Linked DNA regions of Arabidopsis thaliana. The protein of the gene in region 1 interacts with the protein of each later gene in a pairwise test. Each region holds a gene or a part of one and is shown in the gene's direction. Other genes may lie near its edges.

Region 1 (5,026 bases):
CAACAAACTATAAAACTATAATATATATATATATATATATATATGTAACATTGTCGTAGATATTGCTTTAGAAGAGGTTTCAGTTTGATTATAATGCCAAAGTACATAAATTGATTAGACCTTTAAAGCTCTAGACTAAAACCTTATTCAATCTCTTCACCAACACGTGTCATCTTAGTCTACCTCACATTAATCTAAAGGAACACTGTTATTTACGGTTTCTATTCAACAGCTAAAGCCCACCGAGATACTTTCTCTGCTCGCAGCTACATGGGTCACAAATCGGATCTATGCAATCAAATGGTGTTGTTGCACAAGTTGTTTGGTTCTCTTGAAATTTTATAAAGTATACATTTTGATGTGGTTTGCTGGATGTACTAGCAATCTTCTCTTGTATTCATGCTTATGCTCTCGATGTAGACTAAACTGGCGCATTTGTTTATACTTTATATATTTTATAATTTATGTAATAAAAGAATTTTTTTATGTGATGTTATTGTTTTTATAATTCTTGTCACATGAAGGCGATGAAAATTTTGCTTTCTCGTTTAGTTTGCTATTAAGATGACCTTATTATTGTTGTGTGCTTTGGGATATCTAAACCGATATTTAAATTTAAGTATTTTTAAAATCGAAGTTGCTTTATTTTCTTTTCGTCATAAGGGTTCGTATCATTTATAGAAGATTCTTTTTAGATTAAGGCTTGGAATCGATTCCCCTCAACTGTGTCACTTTTTTTTTTTTTTTTTTTTTTGCACACACTTTTATGGCAAAAAAGAAAACCGAATTTCTATGAGCCGGGGGAATGAGTCAAGAGTTCAGTAAACCAAGAAAAGAGAAATGAAAGAAGTAAAAGCTGGTCCCTAAAAGAGAATTCTCTTCGAACTATATAAATAGTAACATCCGGGTACATGTGTGATCAGTGAGTACACACCGACCCCCACGTACGTTCGTAATGAACCCAATTCCCTGATAACTTTCACCTAGTTTTAGATTTTTTTTAGTTACTTATCATAAATTTTACCATGACCCATTTTCTGCTCCATAAATGTTGTACGTGTCTGTTTCATTACTACAGTATTGTTTATTTTTTACAATTGTTTTTAAAAAATAAATTGAAACGGGTCTTTCATTTATTTAGATCAAAGGTTGTCCAAGAGTTTTAGAAGAGCGACGACATCACAAAAATTTGTTTCATGATCAAGATCCCGTGGGCAAATAGATCCTTAAAGAATCTAATCCATATGAATCAGAAAAGGTAAAGATTAACGGAACCGAGACAAGACATGATTAATTCTTTTAATAAAAACCAATTTGATCAAAAACTTAAATTATTAGTATCGAAAAGAAAACTGTACCAAACTAACTAATATGTTACATATTATATGTACTACCTAGATTAGGTTGAGAAAGCTATAGAATTTCTTTTAAAATCGAAAAACTGAAAATCTCAATGAAATTGGAATTGAAAAAAATCGTAAGTCCTATATATTAATTAAGTGCACTATTTGGAAAAGCACTTGTGGGAATTTAATAAGAAACAAAAGTAGATATCACAGGAACCAGGCGGAACAATGGTTTTGAAGGAAGTTTGTTGGGGAAATGAATATATACAAAAAAAAACTAATTTATTGCATTTTGTTCAAGGACCTATTTCATTGTGACCAAATTTAGCAAAAAAACAGTGGCATTTTCGTGAACTAGTAATTTTTCAGAGTTTGTCAAAAAAAAAAAAAGTATTTTTTCAGAAAGTATTGTGTACCAGATAAAATTACACAAAATAAACTACCATATTTACGAAAATGCCACCCATCCACTATGTAAATTAGAAAAACCAAAATATGAATATGGAGAAGTACATTTTCTCGGAGAAAACTATATACTTAATTAGTAATTTATCAAAATATGAATACGAAGCTTTTATGTTATGTATTCGTGTATATATATATAATCGAAGTCAATAATTTAACCTCCAACAACCTTGCGTCTGTCTAAGCATCTATCATAGATCATGCATTATAGATCCATAATCTTCATCCGATACAATCTAACACAATTAATTCCACACCGTTAGTGAATAATATTGCGACTTTTACATATAATATTATATTCAATCCGTTCATCATTCTTAAGTCTTAAGAGACCAAGGATAAGCTATCAACCTTTCTTTAGCTCTTTGATAATTAGAAGCTATCAATCAACCTTTCTGACATACAACAAATAGAAAATTTAATGAATTGCCATAAAAAATAAGAACCAATCAGTTTTATATAAATGTTTATCTATCTCTCTAAAGCCTCATAACTCTATATATCGCCCAGTCTTTTTATCTCTCTGACTCTCTCTCTATGGACGAGGCTACCGGAGAAACAGAAACTCAAGATTTCATGAACGTCGAATCCTTCTCTCAGCTTCCTTTCATTCGCCGTCCTAAAGATAAGAACCCTAAACCCATTCGTGTCTTCGGAAAAGATTTCACCGGCAGAGATTTCTCTATTACTACCGGTCAAGAAGACTACACCGATCCTTACCAGACCAAAAACAAAGAAGAAGAAGAGGAAGAAGACCAAACCGGAGACAACAGTACGGACAATAATAGCATCAGCCACAACAGGAGATTCGAGTGTCACTATTGCTTTAGAAATTTTCCTACTTCACAAGCCCTAGGTGGACACCAAAACGCTCACAAACGCGAACGTCAGCTTGCCAAACGCGGTGTTTCCTCTTACTTTTATCATCCTGACAATAACCCTTACAGTTACCGTCATTACCCGTCGTGGACCAATGGTCCGTTAACCGCGGCTAGGTCCTATGGAGGATTTTCTTCTGGTCCTAAGCCGTCGGGGTATTATACACGACCCAGCTATGGGAGTCAGTTAGGACTATGGCGTCTACCGCCTCGCGTTCAAGGCGTTTATAACTCAAACGCAGCGTTTACTAGTAATGGCTCTTCTTCTTCTTCTAATTCGACTTTACCGTTGTTGACCCGTTCTCAAACTCAACTATCATCGCAAGTGGGTGGCTCCGCTGCTCAGAACAGAATGTCATCGTACGGTTACGGATTGAGCCCTAACGTGCAAGATCATGTGAGTCTCGATCTTCATCTTTAAAGATTTGAAAACAAAATAAAACTCTTATTGAGTGTTATGTAACTTAGTGCAAGAAAAAACAACCTAAGTTATTGAATATTACGTAATCTTTAACGATTAGACTTCTTATTATCTATACCTATTCCCTTATTGAATGTTTTGTAAGGTAAGAAACGGCACGATGTGTAAGATTCACGGCATCGATCTTTCTTTTTTTACCCATACGTGCTTGAATGAAGGAAGGGAATTTATGAATTTACGTGTCCACATTTAATATAGCTTCGAACACTATCGTTTTGGTTCAGGGAAATTGTCAGTAATAGACTCATAGCAGTGCTTACTAGTTACTAGGGTATTTAACTATAACCGCACAGTGACTCAGATAGAATTTCAACGATAAAATGATAGAATCTTTACTGTACGGAACTAACAAGTAACAAATACAAAAACAAAAATTAAACCTCTCGAGTACAAATCTTTTTACGAGGGTTTGAAACGAATCTAATGGACACTGTACTCATCGCCATCTCCTTGAAACAAATAAAACTCAAGATGGGTAATAAGTAGCTAGGTAATAATTTTAGATGATGCCAATGATGATAATTTGGTGCGTGTGGGTAAGTGAAGACAATGGACAAGACAAAAGGGTATAGAGAGAAACAAAGTGAGTGAAGTGGTCCATAAACACACAGATGTAGAGTTTACGATAGAGATTTCTCATCTGTACTTAATGTAATTACTATTCTCGTAACTTGCAATTTCGAGTAAGAACATAAAGAAGGAGCTAAAGCAAAGCAAAATTCCTCAAGCTTTCTACTTTTGTGTTTATTTCTTAACTTTTCTTTTAGGTAATCCAAAGAATACCAACAAGACAACAGCCTCTATAGTCTATATATATCTCAATCAATGAACTTGAAAAAAGTTGTGATTCACATACCGTAAACTCCAATTAACAGATGCCACGAGATTGATTATGACGGGTTGGTCCTGTTGCATTCAAAAGGACAAATACAAAACTACTAATGATATCAGAGAATGTCAATGACCCGAAATGGTTTTCAAGACAAAACATGGGAAAATCCTTGTACCTAATTAACCATGTAGTTTATTTTATTTTATTTTTATGTTAAACTATCAAATCAAAACATAAATATAGATGACAACGTAGCTAGGACTTTGATCCAGAAGAACATACGAGTTTCCACATTTGACAAGACTTTAATCAAAGAATATCACAAGCATTAATTCACAACCTCCACCAATATAATGCACTATGCAACAACATGGTGATGGTTACATATATATGGTTTCTTTTAGAAATCAACTAATCTGATTCAATCAAGTCTCCTATGAAAGGAAATGGAAAATGACATGCCAAAACGACATCTTTGGACACTTTATTGAGAAAATGCAGGTAGATGCAACATCGCAAAAACTCTTGCTTGTACTTTTTGTCTATCAAAATAATTGTATTTAAACACGGTATGGCTAAGATATAACTAACATTAGCAATATCAGTGACACCAACCTAAAGCTATAGATAAGTTTGAGAGGCTCATGCAGATAGCGACGTTGCTATTTTCGGACCTGGAGACTTTAGTAGCGGAACAGTCTCCATCAGTTAAACAGGGAAGGGAACAGATGGTGCAACTTCAGCCTGTAGATCATAAGGGAAGTGATAAGGTTTTTCAGATAAATTTTATGGACACGTTTCAACATAAATTTTGCAATAAGGATGTTTCAATTGTCACCAAGAGTAGTAACAAAACAAAAATACAGAAAAGAATTAAAAGACGTATCTGACCTCCAGGAACAGTTCCTCAGCTACAAACAAACAATACTAGTTGGGAATTATAAGAGTATATTTATTAGATAATAGGAAGTTTTTGGAAATACTGTCAAAAGAGTTAACATCAGTAGCAGCTAAAAGAGGACCT
Region 2 (9,098 bases), on another chromosome or scaffold:
TTTTTAACAAGTTTATATTACCCTTTTATGAATTCTAACAAAACAAAAAAAAGTGTGAAAAAAAAAAAACAGAAAAAAACTCTTATCCTTTGAGGCTTTCAGTTTGACCCCAACAAAATAAAATAAAATTACACCATTAACCAAGGTTAAATTACATCAATTGCAGATCTTTGTACCATTGCTACAATCTAACAGCCCAAACGAATATGGGCCTGAAGCAAACCAAATAAGGATGTGGCCCATTTTTACATCATATGACTGTTACCGAATCAGAAAGTCAATGACAATAATGGAAAATATGCAAATTTGACAATTTTCACCCAAGATAATGGTTGTTGAAGAAAATTACACAGGATGAAACATTTAGGCCACGAAGTTTTGAATATTAGGGTTTTGGGCCTCTCGGCTTGTTGGACTTTTTAGATCATGCTAGACCAAAACCGACTACACTATTTTGAGTAAGTAATTCAAAAATCCCAATTCGTTAGAAAACGAGCTTGAGTAGTTGTCCCAAAGTGATTGATCATTGATGTCTACATAATAATATGCATCCTCCATATAAGATTATGGCCGGTATTGGGCTGAGATGGTAATCTAAACATTATTTTGATGCCTTGATGGACAAATTAATATTGAGATTCTATAAAAGCTTAACCGTGAGTTATATACTTCTACCGAACCCAAAAAAAGCATCTAAAGAGCCGTGAAAAATAAATTCTCAATTCGGAGGGGGTCATTATGACACAAACTAAAGGAATAAAGCCATGACAAATGTGGATTTGCAAGAGAGCTGCATTGACTAAAACAGCTATACGAATCAAAGGAGGCATATAACAATTTCTAATAAAGGAAAGGAATCTGAAATGTGGCATTAGGATTTAGGTGATGACAGGGAGTGGATGTTGACCGATCAACAAAATTATAGGATAATACCAAACTAATCAATTTAAATAACACTCGATTGAGATGTTTACAATAATTATTGATAATTTTAATGCTATTTTCTATATTTATTTACGATTAATGCAAGAAGGCCGTTTAATTTTATCTTATTGGTCTACATAATTGTCATTATTCTAAGGCTTTTTTGGTTGAACTGGTAGAGGCAAAATAGTTAATTATTCAATACTTAAGTATGTTAGGTTAACCGACTAGAGAAAGTTGCTCTAGTTCTATTATATCCAAATTTGAAACTTAAAGCCTAAAAGCTGTTAATTTTTGAGAAGAAGAAAAAACTTTCAGAAACTGTTTCACATATTATCACTCTCGGCTTTCAAAAGGTTATAGACTGAAGATGAAACTAAAAAAAAATCTGTAATTATGTATAGTGTGTTACATATAAGTAGACGTATTATATTCATACTATTCTTATCCCTCTCTCTGTCTCAAAGGTCATTTAACAAAAAGAGTTGTAGTTTAGAAATAGAAACTCACTCGATTCTGCTATTTTAATATACATACACAAATCAACAAACATTCCTTATCCCACATTAATGCATTGTCTTTGATTATGAATTTATGATTATGTGTATTAACATTATTTCATCACTATCTCTAGTACTATTCCAATAACAAACTCATTAGATCATCCAAATAATATATATAATTTAGCTTAAACTATAGCTGGGGAGTTGTATTCGATCATTTAGTTATAGTATATATTTGTTTACTAGACTAAAGATATATATATCATTTTTTTTTTGGCAAAAATATAAAGTATATGCTGTATATATCATGCCCATTCAAAGATTCTTGATATAATTCTAGAATTTTCCTGTTAGTTTTCTTTTGGTTTTAGATTAACACACAGACTACTTAGAAAAAATAACTTCATGCATGATCCATGCTGCTAAGATGATAGAGTGAAACCCAATTCTTTTATGCAAATTTCACCACTTTACTTTCACATATACAGATACGTATTTTGATATAGGCATGTACGTGAATACGATGAATAATACTACAGAAAAGATGATAGATTATTGAAAAAATGTGTACGTGAATAAGCCCAAAAAGAGATTTGATGAAAAAGAGCCAATAAGCACAAACAGGCGGTTACAAAGAGAGAGAGAGAGATTGTGGAGTAGGAGTCAGTGATTCTAGTGGGTTCCTCCTCTTTTTCTGCTCTCTTTCTTCTATTTTTATTTTATGGACTAAATTACAAACTCTCATTTAATTTTCTTCTCGCTCAATTTTTTTCTACCTAGAGAAGTCGATAGTTTTCTTAATAATCTACCTCCATTTTCTTGTGATCGGTCCAATTAATCTTATATCCAATCATCTTATTTATCTTCTACATATTGGATAAGGCTCTTTTATTCTTTACCAAAGATAAAGCTCCATTCTTTTTCTTAACAAGGATAAAGCTCTTTTAATTAAGCACTCTTAGACTTTTGATTTTCTGTTTAACTTCTACATTTCAGGTTTGTGTATGAATAGAGATCGTCCACTCCATCTGATCAATTGCCAAGTACTAGCTTCACCCTTGACAGCTATAAAGTTAGTCAACTAAATTTTCAATTTTCTGTACAACTTTTTTGAACCCAATATTATTATTTGGAAAACAAAAAAAAATGCAACACATAAATATAGCCTGGAGACAAAGTCTAGGAAGGACAAGATCTTCGTCTGATTTACCATGAAAAATTATCAATATTTCTTTATTGTTTTCTTCAATAAAATTTTGAAATTTAGCAAGTGGAATTTGTGTTTACTATGGAAATAGATAGAGAAAGGTGGTGAAAAGGAGAGAGTGATGATGAATCACAAAGGTTTCTTCACATACAAGTATAGAGAGAATAGTAATAAAGAGAGAAAGAGTAATGATACTATACATTAGTCAATTACTAATACTTTATTATCATTTCTCTATCCAACTACAAATATATACACGCCCACATAATTTTGTATATGTATCTCGGAAAGAGAAAAGATTGGACCCTCTTTTGTTTTTCTGTTCAGCCATAAAAAAGCCTTTGACGAGAAAGCTTCCATTCTACTTTCTCTCTCTCCTCTTTGTTCTCAAACACCAAAAGCAAAACATCACAAAAGGTAAACACATAGATATCTTACTTTCATGTTCATATCATCAACTAGCTTTTTCTTTTCAAATTCCAATCATTTGATCAACTAATCAAGAATTAATTATAAGACTTTGCAATCTCTCTCCCTCTCCCTCTCCCTAGCTAGTTCTCTCTTGTGTTTCTTAACTCGAGCTTCTCTCAATAGTGATTATCATCTTTTTCATCATTTCAAGATTTAATGTGTTTTGCAGAAAAGAGACTAATCAAGAAGAGATATCATCAATTGAAGCTGTTTTCTTGAGTAGAGATGGCGAACCATAGAATGAGCGAAGCTACAAACCATAACCACAATCATCATCTTCCTTATTCACTTATTCATGGTCTCAACAACAATCATCCATCTTCTGGTTTCATGTAATTAACAAATCTTCCTTCGTCTTTTCTTCTTTACATATACATAAAGCTCAACTTTATTCATATTACATATCTTAATATTGAGCTCTAATTGAATTTTATATGGGTTTTCTTTGTTTATTCTCAATTTGTCATTTTCTTAGTAGTATTATGATATGTTATACGGTTTCATTTATGAGATATGAAATGGTCAACGGAAATCTATAGGTAAAACAGAAACTAAAAAATGTGTTATGGATCATCCGAAATAGGTTTTATATGTGCTTTAGCTTTTGTGTAAACTTTCATTATATGCGACCGTCTTTATTAATCTTCTAACTCAAAATGCGACCCTCTAATCAAGTATTTATATTTTAATTTAATTGTTGTTCCTTTTGGTCTCCAATTTTTCTTGGTTTCTGATTGTATAGTTGTAGTAACACATGATGAATATTCTCTTTGTACTAATTAAACAATACTATTAATAAATGAAACAGTAACCAAGATGGATCGTCCAGTTTCGATTTTGGAGAGCTAGAAGAAGCAATTGTTCTGCAAGGTGTCAAGTATAGGAACGAGGAAGCCAAGCCACGTAAGCCCCCCTCTCTCTCTCAAATCTTCATGACGTGAGCTTTCCTTAACAAACTCCAATAAAGTTTTTAAAATTCTGAGCAAAAAACTGAAACTGGAAAAAACAAAATAAAAAGCTGAGAGTAGTCTGAACAAGTCTTTAGATAGGTTTAGGTGATGATACGGAGGCAAAAGAGAGCCTTGGATGGCGTGACTTGTTTTTCTATTTCTCTTCTCTTTATTTAGAAAATAAGAAAAGAAGAAAATATCTTTTACCAACTCCCTAACTTCCTCTATATCAAAATATTCATAATTATACTATTAGTAAAATGTGTCATGTTATATATAGATTCCACGTGATAAATGATGTAGTTAGTTCTAAGTAGAATATATTGTAGTACTACTTAAATTACATCAAAAACACATATACATGCATGCACACATTTAATAAGTAGCTAGCATACTACATGATTACATATGAACATTACATATCTGATAAATGTAATGATGGGTAAAATTGCAGCTTTATTAGGAGGAGGAGGAGGAGCTACGACTCTGGAGATGTTCCCTTCGTGGCCAATCAGAACTCACCAAACTCTTCCTACTGTACCCTTTCTTCTTCTTTGACCCTTTCCTCTTGTTTTTTTCTCCTTTTTCGGCATTCCTATTTAAACTTAAAACTTATATTTTCATTTTACCCTCACTTTTATATACATGTTTCAGCTTTCTTGTTCCTCTTACTATCTCTTATTTTTGCTTCTTTCAACTCAAAAGCTGATAGCGATTTTAGAGTAGTTAATTACTCCATTCCTTTCTCTTGACTTTATTTTATATTACATAAACTTATAGTACCCCGTTTGTCAAATTATATACGCTAAGGTCAATTCCTCCTTAGTTACATTGATTATCCCTTTTCTGACTTTTTATTAATTATCTTATACGTTAATGATGATGAGTATGATTATGTTGAATATGTATTGCAGGAGAGTTCCAAGTCAGGAGGAGAGAGCAGCGATTCAGGATCGGCTAATTTCTCCGGCAAAGCTGAAAGTCAACAACCGGAGTCTCCTATGAGTAGCAAACATCATCTCATGCTTCAACCTCATCATAATAACATGGCAAACTCAAGTTCAACATCTGGACTTCCTTCCACTTCTCGAACTTTAGCTCCTCCTAAACCTTCGGAAGATAAGGTACTCATCATCATCATCATCATCATCATCATCATCATCACTTTTTAAAATTTAATTTTAGAAAGAGATATATGCATGGTACGTACTTGGAGTCATCATGAAACATGCATGCTTAATTTGGTGCATGTACATGGTATGTATATCATTAGCCTATCTCTCTCTCTCCTTGTCATTTGATAGATATGCATGCACATGCTTTTTCATATATGTCTATGTCCTAACAAATCTTTCCAATAAAACAAAAACATACACAGATCCCAAAAAGGAAACGGATCAGAGAAAATTCAGAATTTTGACCTCTCGAATCGTTGATAAAATAATGAAAACAGACAAATTTAAAATACAAATTATTAAATGAAATCCCCAAAAAGCGGAATAAAGCAGAAGAATCTTCCTAGGTGTTATTATTGTTTTTATAATTTACTTTTTACTACATGATTACATATCCTCATTTCTATGTTTACTTTAACAACACATATATTCCCTAAATGAGTTCATATTGCTTAGATTTAATATTACATTAAAAAAAAGTATTTAATAATGCTGTTTTTTTAATTGTGTGTAAATGGTATTTAAATATTTATCACATGAGTCGACTTCACTCACACAATTTAATTTATGTTTACTTTCTTTCCACTGAATGAATTTCTATTTTCATCTCTGTTCTCTGACATTGCAGAGGAAGGCTACAACTTCAGGCAAACAGCTTGATGCTAAGGTACTTTAACTTTCATCATCATCATTTCCTATACATTTTATTTGACTCCCCCGAGGAGACATATCCATTCCTATATATGTACTTACTTTTTAGTAACCTTTTTTACCTGAATTAATTCGTTAACTTCTTGTTTAAATGTTCTTAAATCTGGATTATGCAGACGTTGAGACGTTTGGCCCAAAATAGAGAAGCTGCTCGCAAAAGCCGTCTTAGGAAAAAGGTATGACCATATAATTGCCTGACTTTTCACCTCAAATTATTATCATTTGTTTTTGTTTTTTTGACCTATTTATATATTCTTTGCTACTTTTTCCAAATGATAATTTGTTGCATAGAATTACAATAATGCTATTGCTACTAGTAAAACATACGCAGTGGTGTCTTTTATTCTTCTTGGAAACCGCTGTTACATGAGCATTTATTTCTTTATCTACCATTTACCAGTCTTCTATAATTCATTTATGAACGTATAAGTTCCGCATTTCTTGTTATTCTATATGTAATGATACTAGTATGAAAATAACAAATGCATATACATATGGTTTGAGCAGGCGTATGTGCAACAGCTAGAATCAAGTAGGATAAAGCTTTCCCAATTGGAGCAAGAACTTCAGCGAGCTCGTTCTCAGGTTGAAATTGAATCATTTATATTCCTATAATCCTATATATTCTGCTAAATCTTTTTTTAAATTTGTCAAAACCTGTCATTTGCTAAGTTTCTCAATTGTTCATTGGTTATTAATAATGTCTGTTTGTTGAAATTAATATATTGTTTATGTCGATGGTAGGGGCTGTTCATGGGTGGTTGTGGACCACCAGGACCTAACATCACTTCCGGTACTTGAAACCTAAAACACCAATTGCAATGTATTATTGTATTAAAATAAGTACAATAATGGTTAAACTATTATTAACAAAATGTTGAAAATCGAATGTACGTAGGAGCTGCAATATTTGACATGGAATATGGGAGATGGCTAGAGGATGATAACCGGCATATGTCGGAGATTCGAACCGGTCTTCAGGCTCATTTATCTGACAATGATTTAAGGTTGATCGTTGACGGTTACATTGCTCATTTTGATGAGATATTCCGATTAAAAGCCGTGGCAGCGAAAGCCGATGTTTTTCACCTCATCATTGGGACATGGATGTCCCCAGCCGAACGTTGTTTTATTTGGATGGCTGGTTTCCGTCCATCCGACCTAATCAAGGTTCGACTTGTTCTTCCTTACTTTACCCCATGATTACAAACGTAAGTTTTAGGTTTTGCGTTTGAAAAACAAAATGATATTCACGTTAGTAAATTACATCAACAAATCTGAAACATTGCTGCAAAATGTAAACAGAAATGAGTATTCTTCGGTTTAATTATTTGCGTGTGATAAAAAAGTTGTGGAATCATGATTAACTAAAGAAAGGGATGTGATCTTAGATATTGGTGTCGCAAATGGATCTATTGACGGAGCAACAACTGATGGGAATATATAGCCTACAACACTCGTCGCAACAAGCAGAGGAGGCTCTCTCGCAAGGCCTCGAACAACTTCAGCAATCTCTCATCGATACTCTCGCCGCATCTCCAGTCATTGACGGAATGCAACAAATGGCTGTCGCTCTCGGAAAGATCTCTAATCTCGAAGGCTTTATCCGCCAGGTTCCATTTTCTCACCTATCTTTTTTTTTTTTTTACTTCATTTGCTCGAACAATAATTACAAACGAATGCAAACGAGAGAAAAAAACACCGTGTGAAATATACACAAAATTTGACCTACTATATAACTGTAGATAGTTTTTGACTAAACAAAATTTGCAACGTATTTTGGTTTATAGTTAGAGAGGAATTCGAATATATTTTTTAGAAATATATTGGGTAAATTTTAACGTTTTATATATATACTAGATGTACAAATGTTTAAAAATGCGGAAATACGTGCATATATTTTGCGTACATATATGAACAAACGTATGTGCTGGCTAAATTATCTAATTGAAAAAAAAACAAATAATCCAGAAACAGACAATACGTGAAAGCAACATTTGATGTTCTATAATAATTATATGTTGTTTTGGTCTTTGATTTAATTATTCCAAGAGCCAAATTTCTTTCACCAACTTGTTTTTACCTTTTATATATAATATAGCTGAAAAAAAGACAAAGAGAATATGTTAAAAGTATTCTCCATCTCTTTCAATGTTTTGTTTTGAACTCAACAAAAATATTTTAAAAAAATTTCTTGTTTTCAAACATTATGATCAAATTGATTGTTATTGATATGTATTGACTTTTGTAATACCCATTAGCCCACCAAGGTAGTAAGTAGGTATGCAATTATAATTATTAGTTTTTAATAATATTACCAAAAGAAATATTGAAATAATCTTAAAATGTCAAAAGATGTGATTACTAACTGTAATCTTTTTCTTTCTATTATTAATCTAAATGAAGGCTGATAACTTGAGGCAGCAGACCGTTCACCAGCTGAGGCGGATCTTGACCGTCCGACAAGCTGCACGGTGTTTCCTAGTCATCGGAGAGTACTATGGACGGCTCAGAGCTCTTAGCTCCCTTTGGTTGTCACGCCCACGAGAGTAAGACACATTTTTATGCATATATACATTTCATAGACGTATAATAATGCTAAAATATGAATTTGATATCGGGAATTATCAATGTGAATAGGACACTGATGAGTGATGAAACCTCTTGTCAAACGACGACGGATTTGCAGATTGTTCAGTCATCTCGGAACCACTTCTCCAATTTCTGAATGGAATGAAACTTTGTATAACTAAAAGGCCAAGTTTCATTGTCTGTCGTAATTTCACCTATTTCCTTTAAAGTTGTACTAGAGAAAAGATAGGATCTTCCTTCGACATTCTTCTTTTAATTATAGTTTTATGCTACTATGAAATTAACGTACCACGAAAAAAATGAATGTTGAATCTCTTCGACAGTACAAGAGGATGACTGAAATTTAATTTCACGAATGCTTTGGAGAGGATGACTGAAATTTAATTTCAATTATTTTCAATTTTAAACAGAAACGTAAATATCTCTACAAGTACAAGAACAAGAGCATGAATTTTTTTCGTACGATCAAGTTTTTCTTATGGAATAAAGATCTGACACATGTTCCTGAATCCTGGATAAAGAAGTACAATTCTGGTATAAAAAGACAAAGTTGTACCTTTTTGTT
Region 3 (5,073 bases), on another chromosome or scaffold:
AAACTAAATTAGTGGTGTTTTTTTAGGACATCCATTTAACTTGTATCAACAAACGCTAATGAAAAATAAATTTGGGTCTGATATTACTAATACAACTTTTGCTTTGTTTTTAATTTGTTATCCGCATGAACTGTACGTAGAGAAACTTAGACTCGAGCCTTGAGTATATCATCGATAAAATACGGGAGATGAAGCTTTGTGTAGAAGTAAGTAATCTGAATCGTCACATTGTTGTTATCTCACGACATGCATGTATATTTAGGATTTCATATATGTTTTTTTAGTTTCAAATTTTTCTTTTTCATTGGTTTTGTTTAATTCAGTTTATCATATGTTATATGATAGTTAAGTGAATGTCATTTCTTACTTGCTGGATTAGACAAAAGCAGTAATTAAAGAAAACCATTTATCATGACTAAACTCAATATTTAACAATGCAGAGTTATTGGAGAAACTCAATAGGTCTAATGATGCCACCGGGCATGGGGGTGGTGGATATTCCGGCACCATGGGTATATCCTTATAATTATGTCCCTCCAAACTACATGATGTATTACAATCACTTTCCGGCAGCACCGGCACCAGGAGAAACTAGCGGCTACGCCAACCAATTTGTACCCTTTACCACTTATCAGGTTTTGATTTGTTTTCTTCTTCATGTGTTTATATTTTTGTGATTGTTAGTTGTTCTTTATTTATCTGTTCTTTCTTGACAATGAAAAATTTACAGGGAGTCAACAACAATAATCAACCACAGACGACAAAGCCGATGTAAACTACAAGATGCTGTAGTATATAAGACCAGTTCATGTTTTAGTATTAAAGACCGGTTCTCTCAAGTTCTTTAATAATATGGTTTGTTGTTTAATGTAAAGGAGTTGGTCTCCCAAGTTGTATTTGAAACTAGGAGTACTATGTGGCTTGCTCTTTGTTGTACGTTTTCGCACTGTTGTATAGTATACTGTAACGTTGTAACGTTTTACATTGTTTATCGTAAACAACTTATAGTATTTTGGTTGTTTAAATGCAATGTTTTCGTGTTTAGTTCTAGTGCGCAACATCATATATTAATTCACATTAATCACCAAGAAGAATCTAGCTATATTGTGAAACTAAGGATTGTTCCGAACATAAACAAAAAATGTGTTGAAATATATTATATTATATCTAAAATAAAATAAATAATATAAATATTATTATTTTGGCAAAAAAACTATATTAATATTGTTTTAAAGAAAAAAAACTTTGTAGCTAAAATGATAAACATATATAAGTGATTTTTTTTAACTTACATATCTCGTTAACGTTTTTTTGTTTTTTCGTTAACGTTTATAATTTGTAAGAAAGATTTAAAAATGAAATATTTTCATAAATATTTAAATATTAGATATTTGATCCGCGGTTTGGGCCTGTAGAGAATCTTAAATTCATTTTTTTTTTCTGTTTTTATTTTCAATCTTTGAGCAAAACAAATAGTTAATGATGTTATAGATTCAATTGTTTAACAAAAACTAACTTAAGAAATTAATTTAATTGAATGATTTTTTTTATAACTAAATTGAATGATATTGCAAATATCTATTTACAACATTAAATATATTTGTTACTATAATGATGTTAGTGTAAAAAATATATTCATTGTTGCACCCAAAACATTCATAATTAAATGTTAGTTTTAAACTTGGCAATCGAAATTTTATATTATTTTTCTTTCAAATCGCTCATATGATGGCAGGTTAACCAAATATGTTTTGCTTGTCCGTTTTTTTTTTCTATCTGTCTCCAATTGTTCAAATAATATATACGAGATATTGAAGAAATGGTTGAGAGAAAAAAATGAAATGGTTGAGAGAAAAAAATGAAATGGTTGAGGTTTATTTAAGAAGGAGAAGTAACGAGAGTGTGCATGTATCCACAAATAACCCAAATTAAAATAGTACATCTAGCTATAAAAAACGTCCCGTCTCAATGAAGTAATCAGACGACGGTCTTATGTATTTGGGTCGATGGCGAAGCTATTCGATAGAGAGTTCAAGATCTCTGATCAGCACATGTTTATATGAAAGATTTTGGTGCATGACTCCTTAAAATATGTATGAGTATTGAAGAGACACGTAACTCGATAAATATATGCAAACGTACGTTCTAAATATCACATCAGAAGCTAGCTTGCACAGTGTTACAAGCCGGTCAAAACAAATTTCTGACTAGAAACATTTTCTTGCCCTTGCATGGACATGTCCATGCATGTTGTTGATATAATAGAAAGTTTATCTTGTTCTCAATCAAAATAAATAATTCTTAAATATTGAAATATGTCATTTTTGTTCGAACTTGTAATAGGAGTTTTACAGTTCTCTTTTCCAACTAGATAATGTTTTTCCAATTTTAATGCAATTTGTTGTATCCATAGCTAGCTTGAGAAGAAAAATAAAATACTAAAGATTAAGAACTGCCGTTCATGAACAAGAATGACACTATTCCCCTGCCGTTCTTAGAATTTCAAGAAAGAGCAAGAAAGCAAATATAAGAAAACAACAAAAATATATGTTTTCTTCTGTCTAATGGATGTGCGTAAATGTGGAACACATAAATATAATAATATAATGGAAAATGAGTAAATAAATTGTTAGAGAAAACCATGGGACGAAGCAAAATCATCTTCTTTGCTTCCCGCTCAATTGTTGGAACTTTCAAAAGAAGCTTCTTGTATCTCCCCTATATATATATAGCTTATGGCTGAACTAACTAGTTTATCCTTAACCCTCCACTTTTCACTCTTTAACAAACTCAAAATCCTCAATTTAGTCAATCATCAATGGAGAGAAACAACCGCAACGAGGGGACTCACGAAGAAGAGCAATGTTCGCTTTCTGATATTATTTATTCGTTTTGTTCAGAAAATCATAGTGAATTAAACCCTTTGCAAGAGATATTCGGTGTTACCAAAAACAATGATCATGAGAAACACGACGAGGAGCCAGACGAGGAAAGTTACCGTATGGCTAAACGGCAACGTTCCATGGAATATCGTATGATGATGGAGAAGGTGAAGATGACTTAATCTCCTTCTTCTCTTACGTGATTCCCTAGCTAATTTATATTTTTGCTTTCTAAACTTTGTAGAAAAGACGAAAGGAGATCAAAGATAAAGTAGATATTTTGCAGGGGTTGATGCCTAATCATTGCACAAAGGTTAACTATTACTTAATTTACTCCATATTTTTTATATATTAGAGTCTAATACAATATCAAGTTTCGAATATCGAGTTTCTTGTGTGTTTATCTACAGCCGGACCTTGCATCGAAGCTTGAAAACATCATTGAATACATTAAAAGTTTGAAATATCAAGTAGATGTAAGCATTAAACTATATCTAATTTAATTTAGTTACTTGTATCCATTAGAGTATATATGTTCTTATGTGTTATGTGGATGTGGTCCAGGTTATGTCAATGGCATACACAACAACTCCGGTTTACACACCACCATTTTATGCAGCAGCTCAAGCACCATGTATGTCTCCTTGGGGCTATTATACGCCAGGAGTTCCAATGATGCCTCAGCAAAACATGACCTATATCCCGCAATATCCTCAGGTTTGATCAAATTAAAGTTTAATCTGATTCCACAGATTCTGATTTCTGCCATCAATCTTTTATCACAGGTATATGGAACAGTGCCGCCAAATCAAACTCAACCTTAAAACAAGCTCTAGCTATGTGGCTTTTTAAGACCCTCCGGCTTTAGACTCGTTGCTGTTTATATAGACTGTCTTTGTAAACTAAGATATGTACATAGATACATAAATACATACGTAGTTTTATGTATAACTTTTAGTTTGATGCCACAATATGTAAAAACACCTGTTTTTTATGTTCTGTTTTGGTTGAGCATTGTTCCTCTGTTATTTATGTTCTGTTTTGCTCAACCTTTTTCTTTGTTGAATGTAAGTTAAATAAACAACAAAGATGTTATGTTACGTGTAATAGTACGTTTGTACCAAACATTACTACAACCCTAGTTTGATAATTTTTATCTTGAATCATAGAAAACGAACTAGATCACTAAAATGTTAAATTCAAGAAGCAGAATACATTCATTGGCTACAAATTATCTACACACTTTAACTTTTTTTATTAAAGCAAGAAGCCAAAATAGTTTTATCTTTAAATGTTACTAAAGTAAACAAAAAATGCTTCCCGTTTAACCTCCACAACCACCACCGCAGCCAGCGGCGCAACTGGATCCATTGACATCGTCGTTAGTGTGAGGTTTAGAAGCTCGGTCACTGCATGAGAAAATCACGGCTGCTATGACGGAGAAAGCCACAACAGCTGCCCAAATGTAGAGTGAGACTTCACCATTACCCGCCGCTATTACCGCGAGTTCTCCTCTCACCATTGAAAGAGTTTTTGTGCATCGCTTTGTGACAATTGTTGAGACTAGTTGATAAAGAGAGTTGTAATTGGCATATTTTCAAATGTGTGGTTTTGCGTTTTCGAGTCAGAAGTCACCAAAAAAAAGATGCGACGACTCTTTCTTATATATACTGCCCTTTGGTTTAACTCTAGGGTCAGTGGATCACAAGCTAGTAGTTAACCAATTGTGTGTGCGGCCACTTGATTGTCTTAAAAAATAAATTAAAAATTTCTTAGTTAGCAAAAAAACATAACTAAGAGCGAGTTTTTAAAAGTGGTCATAAAGTAGAACAATATAAGAAAGTAGCACTACAAATGACATAATTACATAGATGACTATATTTACATAGATGTCTATTTGGACTTTGAATGTATGGATATACGAAAATATTTTGGAGATTTGTTTTTCTGAAGATTCAAAAAATTGATTAGAAGACTCTGATTAGCAACTTAAAACAATTTGAACTATCTAACAAATAAATGGTAAACAGTTACGGAATAATGCAAAGATGTAAAATAGAGAAGCAGTAAGCAAAAGTGATAAACAAAAATCCAAACAAAAAACCAAGAGGTATATATTAACTTAATTTGGTTTACGGAAAAAAAATACATGAATAGAGACAAGAAAATAGATGAGTCTCGATGAGTCTTT
Region 4 (5,116 bases), about 15 Mb from region 1:
AGAATTGTTTTGAATTTCTCGAAGAAGTCTTCAAACTCGAATCAGTTTCAGAACAAATATCCAGAATTGACGAACGAATTCAGGAACTCGAAGTGAAGCAGATGAAAAGAGATGCAGGTAAAAATTTATATATTTTTTGATATCTCTATTTGATCAATTCTTTCTATTGCATGAGAATCATGTCTATTTTTTTATTTTATTTTGCAGTCATTGCCAATGTGTCTAGGATGATAACGGAGTTACAAATGAGAACCATGGAGGAGCGTAGGAATATCGACGAGGATGAGAGGATTACCACCGAGGTACTTAGGAATATGGAAGCGATGAGAAAATAAGTCTAACAACTGATTTTACATCAATAGACTGTTTCTTATACTAGCTACATTGGTATATATATATTAATGATTACTTTTGCTATTTTATATAGGTCATTATTAATGGAGACTCAACTCCTGAACAAGATGTGAGGATCAAACAAGGGTTTAAACCGGATTTATGTTTTTTTTACTTGATCAAGTTTTATTTAAGAAAAAAAATAGTGATTTGCATTAATTTTATCATATGCAATTTTTCAGTTATGAAAAAATAAAGAAAGATTCGTTTAGAGTAATTCAGATTATTAGAGACAAAAAGCACAAAAGCTCAAAAAAGACAAAGTTGGACGGAAAAATCTATATATGATTAAAGCAACGAAAAACAAAGAAAAAATCAAACACACACATTGTGTAATTTTTTGTGTATATGGAAGAATAAAGTGAGGCGATCGGAATGAACATCATTGATCATGCTTTCTCAAATTCTTCTCTGATCCTAAAACCAATAAAATGTTGTGTTAACTTATAAATATCATCCATCAGTTTTTACATTGTAGTGTATCGTCTCTAGTAGAGTTCAGCAGTGATCATGATCATCACTAATAGTTATGGCGTTCAATTTTCGTTTTCTCTAAATGTTTTTAAGAATTATCGAAGGAAACAAATATATACATTAAATGCTTCTTTAAAATATATAAACTCTGTTTAGAATTTCAGTATTGAAATCTAAATTATAGTTTGTTTAGATTTTACTAAAGATCCTAGTACTCCAATAAATACAATCTTTGTATTTTTAAATAACACTGATATTATTGATCTTATCCCTATCATTAAATTCAACGACAAAAGTAAACTTTGTTGCAAAAGAGAAGAAGACTATAATAGAGAGACGACAGATCTCGTTCTCAAGATGGTGCACTCGCATTACACATTTGAAATCCGACAGGCCCGTTCACATTTATTCTTAATTCGTCATCCTCGTCCAGGATACTTTAAGAAGAGGTAATTTCTAGGTTTTTAATGTGTTTTTTCCACTCTGATTTAAAATCCTTTCTTCTCTCCCAAGCTTCCCTTTGCTTTCAATCCCCAGGAGCTGGAAGGATTGTAATGAGTTCGAGCAAGAAATCTCAAAAATCGAATCATTTCCGGAAATAATATCCAGAATTGATGAATATGTTGCACAACTTAAGGAGGAGGTGGCCTATCTAAAGATAGGTATTTATTCAGAGTATCTATTTGATCATTCTTTCTATTTTATTCTCCTTTTTTATCTTTATGTGTTTCATATTCGTGTAGCCAAGGCGATTGTCGAAGAGAGGGCTAGGATTCGCTCCATAAAAAGAGCGGAGGCGCGTAAGGTTTTAGAAAAGTAAGTTTAACAATTGACGACTTTTTAGAGAAATTTTTAATGATATTGACGACTTAGATGATTAATTATGATCATTATCAACCGTTTAATGATTACTTTTACTTTAATAGTTTAAGGCAAACTCTACTCGGGGAGATGAGGAAGAGGAAGGCTGACGAGGATCTATGAGAACTGATGATCACATAAACTTCATGCTACATGCAATAAACGCGGTTAATTGGGTTTTGTTTTTTCTTCAACATCAACCCGACCTAGCTAGGGTATTATCTATATATATGGGACATCTTATCATCTGATCTGCATGTACCTATTTTTATTATTATAAATGCTTCATATATTAAGAAGAAAAGTTGTAGGCTTGTAGCAACCGATTCATAGTGGAAAATCCTTTTTTTTTTTTTTATGAAAATCAGATCGGCCGCAAAAACAACTTTCACCATGCACGAAGCTAGAAACTGCATTGATGTACCGTGTACGCTGTTTTTAATATAAAATAATTGCAGTTTTATTAGTTAGGCTACAAATATGAAATCAGGAGAAATATACCAATTAATGTACGTCCTAATTGCTTGGTATGTTACATAACCTTAAGTTGTATAATATTTATTAATTTATTTTATACTGGAGTTGATAGCTTTAAAAGTTGAGAGCAAAGTAACTTGAGACCATTTTAGAGTTAGCAAAGTAATGGAGAAAATAAGAAAAATCACACGCATGCAGCATGATGTATAATTATTGGAAACATGTATTTCCAAGAAAGTAATCAGTTCTCTGTACGCCTGAATTCGATTTTCATAAAGCTCACTTCCTTGGATTGCTAGAGCAAACATTTATATTGATATCTGCGTTAACATCATAACATGTGGGTTTTTAGTAATTCTCAACAGTATGGGTATTTTTGCTCTCTCTAGAGAGGGTAAATTTGTGATTCCATCTGCAAATTATTCCTCCTATATATATATAGAACGTGATGAATCAAATTTCTTAAGTTGCAAGCCATGACTAATCTTGATGAGTTTCTTGAAGAGCTAAGTTCTATTGAATCACATTCTCAGAAAATCGTGAAGATAGATGAGCATTTAAAAAAGTTGGATGAAGAGACGAAAGAAGATGAAGATGAAGATGCGGCGAAGATAATTCAAGATCGGAGTACCGCGAGAGAAGCAGGTTAATTTCTTCTCCTTCACCTTGTAATTTAAAGTTGTTCCTCTCTCATTCTCAAATCTTGTTGGGTCTTGGAAACGCAGAAATTGCTCTACTTATGGATCTCCGTCAGAACTTTCTTCCACCACCATCGATGTCATCCTCCTCTCTTCAACCACCGTCATCGTCAACTCTCGCACCATCGTCATCATCCTCTCTTCAACCACCCGCACCGTTGATAGACTTCTTTCGGTCATCAGTGTCATACTCTCATCAACCACCGTCATCTTCAACTCTCGCAACATCATCGTCACCGTCTCTTCAACCACCGTCGATGTCATCCTCCTCTCTTCAACCACCCGCATCTTTGAGGGAATTCTTTACGTCGTCAGTGTCATACTCTCATCAGCCATCTTCATCTTCAACTCTCGCAACATCTTCGTTCTTTCCGTCGTCAATGCCATACTCTGTTCGACCTCCCGATTCGTCTGATCGACCATCTTTGAGGGAATTCTTTCCGTCGTCACCATCATCCTCTATTCAGCCACCCGAATCATCATCATCTAAGCGAGCACGGCTTAGTAACATCTTTCCGTCACCTTTATCCTCCTCTCCGTCACCGTTTGTTAACCCGTTTCTCCGTCCGCAGGCCCAAGAACCAACAATACCAAATTTCATAAACCCAATACCACAGATCTCTCCAGGCCTACCTGCTCTATTCCCAAACCCTAACCCTAATCCTAACCCTAACCCAATCCCAAACCCAATCCGAAACCCAGACTTGGTGTGGACAAATAGGCTTCAACTAGTGTTTGATGACGCAGTTGTCAGACTTGGGGGATTATTCAGTATGCAACTTTATAATTTTTTTATTTATTTTGTTTATTCTTTCAACTCCTAACTATTTTCCTAATTTTTTTTTTTTTTTTCAGGTGCAACACCCAAAGCCATAAACGAACTAATTTCTGAAGAGGGTCTCACTGGTGACCAGATCCGTAGCCACTTACAAGTCTTGCGGGATCGTCAAAAGGCTATTGCAGACAAATTAGCCTTGGAGTGAAGAAAATATTGAAGATGAGAGATAGGATTAAATAGAAAGAGTGATAGTATAGAACGTTTCTTTTTCTTTTGTTGTTAATCTTGCATATTACAAACAATTACTATATCATAATAGAATTTATGTTAATGTTGGAGTTATTAAAAAAAAAAAAGTTAACCATAATAACATTCTTACTGTACGCATGAGTGATCATTTATCACAATCTATTAGAGCAACCCCAATGGGTGGGATGATGACAGTCCCTAAAAAACCAAAAAATAATAATATTTTAATTTTTTAACATAGTTTGACAACTAAAAAACCTACACATGTACATTTAATCTTCAGGTCCCTTATATAAGGGTTTTTGGAGCCCTTCTCTCCTGTGTCCCTTCCATTTTAATTATTTTTTTTTTTTTTATATTGTAAGGGACCTTAAGAGAGACCACCATTGCTGGTGCAGGCTGTAGAAAAATTTGTTTAGCTTCTCCTTCTTTTCTTAATTTTGACAGATAAGTCTCAGCCTCTCTCCCCCCATAAGGGTATGTCTTGACATTTAGATTCGTTGAATCAAAAGTTTTTCATGTTTGTTCATATTGTGGTCTAATCTTCTTAGGCAGATATGACCTCAGGGAAGAAAGATTATTATGAGTTGCTCAAAACTACAATCTTTAAATAAATATTTGGGTGATGAAACTTCTAGTTCTTTTTTTTTTTTGGTCTAAAATGAAACTATTACTTCTAGAAGAGAAATATCCAACTCTTTTTTTTATTCCAAGCAAATGATAACCAAAAATGCAATAAAGGTGTTAATTTTTATCATAAATATATTCTAACTATGGTCGTAACTTGTAATGGAACACCTAGGCATTTTTTATTTTTTTGGTGCACACCTAATTCGAGGAAAAAGGTTGAAGTAATCATAATTACATAAGTTTCTAACTATGGTCGTAATCGAACACATCTAAGGCGTAGTAATAATTAAGGAAAAAGGTTGAAGTAGCAAAACGACGAGGTTACGATTTGTAAATTCCATAAATGCCCTCTCTCATTTTCAACCTCAAAGAATCGTTTTTGGCTTTCATCAGCCGCTTCGTATTTTTGTTTTCTTCAGTAACGGAAAAAATGGTTTCCGACTTGGACCTCGTGACCCGACTCCGTGAGATTCTCGGTAGCTCCGACCTGAACACGGCGACTCCGGCAAGCGTCCGTCGTCAGTTGGAGGCGGATTTCGGTGTGGACTTGACAGAT

Evidence for each region.
Region 2: the proteins of GIS (region 1) and TGA9 interact in a two-hybrid assay, tested with the Arabidopsis thaliana proteins (one large-scale study listed by BioGRID).
Region 3: the proteins of GIS (region 1) and AT1G68240 interact in a two-hybrid assay, tested with the Arabidopsis thaliana proteins (one large-scale study listed by BioGRID).
Region 4: the proteins of GIS (region 1) and AT3G19070 interact in a two-hybrid assay, tested with the Arabidopsis thaliana proteins (one large-scale study listed by BioGRID).

Annotation. Positions count from the first base shown.
Region 1 is NC_003074.8:21,504,929-21,509,954, reverse strand, and holds GIS (C2H2 and C2HC zinc fingers superfamily protein), read left to right. Parts: upstream 1-2,215; 5' UTR 2,216-2,348; coding exon 2,349-3,110; 3' UTR 3,111-3,383; downstream 3,384-5,026. UniProt on the Arabidopsis thaliana protein: Probable transcription factor required for the initiation of inflorescence trichomes in response to gibberellin (GA). Mediates the induction of GL1 expression by GA in inflorescence organs and is antagonized in its action by the DELLA repressor GAI.
Region 2 is NC_003070.9:2,621,684-2,630,781, reverse strand, and holds TGA9 (bZIP transcription factor family protein), read left to right. Parts: upstream 1-2,187; 5' UTR 2,188-2,499; intron 2,500-2,853; exon of another isoform or gene 2,854-2,961; 5' UTR 2,962-3,051; intron 3,052-3,060; exon of another isoform or gene 3,061-3,274; 5' UTR 3,275-3,330; coding exon 3,331-3,437; intron 3,438-3,913; coding exon 3,914-4,008; intron 4,009-4,509; coding exon 4,510-4,592; exon of another isoform or gene 4,593-4,969; coding exon 4,970-5,179; intron 5,180-5,858; coding exon 5,859-5,897; intron 5,898-6,057; coding exon 6,058-6,117; intron 6,118-6,448; coding exon 6,449-6,526; intron 6,527-6,685; coding exon 6,686-6,734; intron 6,735-6,839; coding exon 6,840-7,111; intron 7,112-7,332; coding exon 7,333-7,554; intron 7,555-8,347; coding exon 8,348-8,490; intron 8,491-8,581; coding exon 8,582-8,669; 3' UTR 8,670-8,922; downstream 8,923-9,098. UniProt on the Arabidopsis thaliana protein: Together with TGA10, basic leucine-zipper transcription factor required for anther development, probably via the activation of SPL expression in anthers and via the regulation of genes with functions in early and middle tapetal development.
Region 3 is NC_003070.9:25,573,812-25,578,884, reverse strand, and holds AT1G68240 (basic helix-loop-helix (bHLH) DNA-binding superfamily protein), read left to right. Parts: upstream 1-2,755; 5' UTR 2,756-2,818; coding exon 2,819-3,049; intron 3,050-3,126; coding exon 3,127-3,195; intron 3,196-3,292; coding exon 3,293-3,358; intron 3,359-3,446; coding exon 3,447-3,599; coding exon of another isoform or gene 3,600-3,605; exon of another isoform or gene 3,606-3,667; coding exon 3,668-3,706; 3' UTR 3,707-4,021; downstream 4,022-5,073. Other genes in the region: AT1G68238 (uncharacterized protein), read right to left, coding at 4,207-4,404. UniProt on the Arabidopsis thaliana protein: Transcription factor involved in somatic embryogenesis. Acts as a positive regulator of somatic embryo formation. Acts as a positive regulator of ECP63 by targeting its promoter and inducing its expression.
Region 4 is NC_003074.8:6,591,092-6,596,207, forward strand, and holds AT3G19070 (Homeodomain-like superfamily protein), read left to right. Parts: upstream 1-2,681; coding exon 2,682-2,850; intron 2,851-2,930; coding exon 2,931-3,674; intron 3,675-3,758; coding exon 3,759-3,886; downstream 3,887-5,116. Other genes in the region: AT3G19055 (uncharacterized protein), read left to right, coding at 1,225-1,316, 1,405-1,529, 1,611-1,683, 1,800-1,851; AT3G19080 (SWIB complex BAF60b domain-containing protein), read left to right, coding at 4,991-5,116.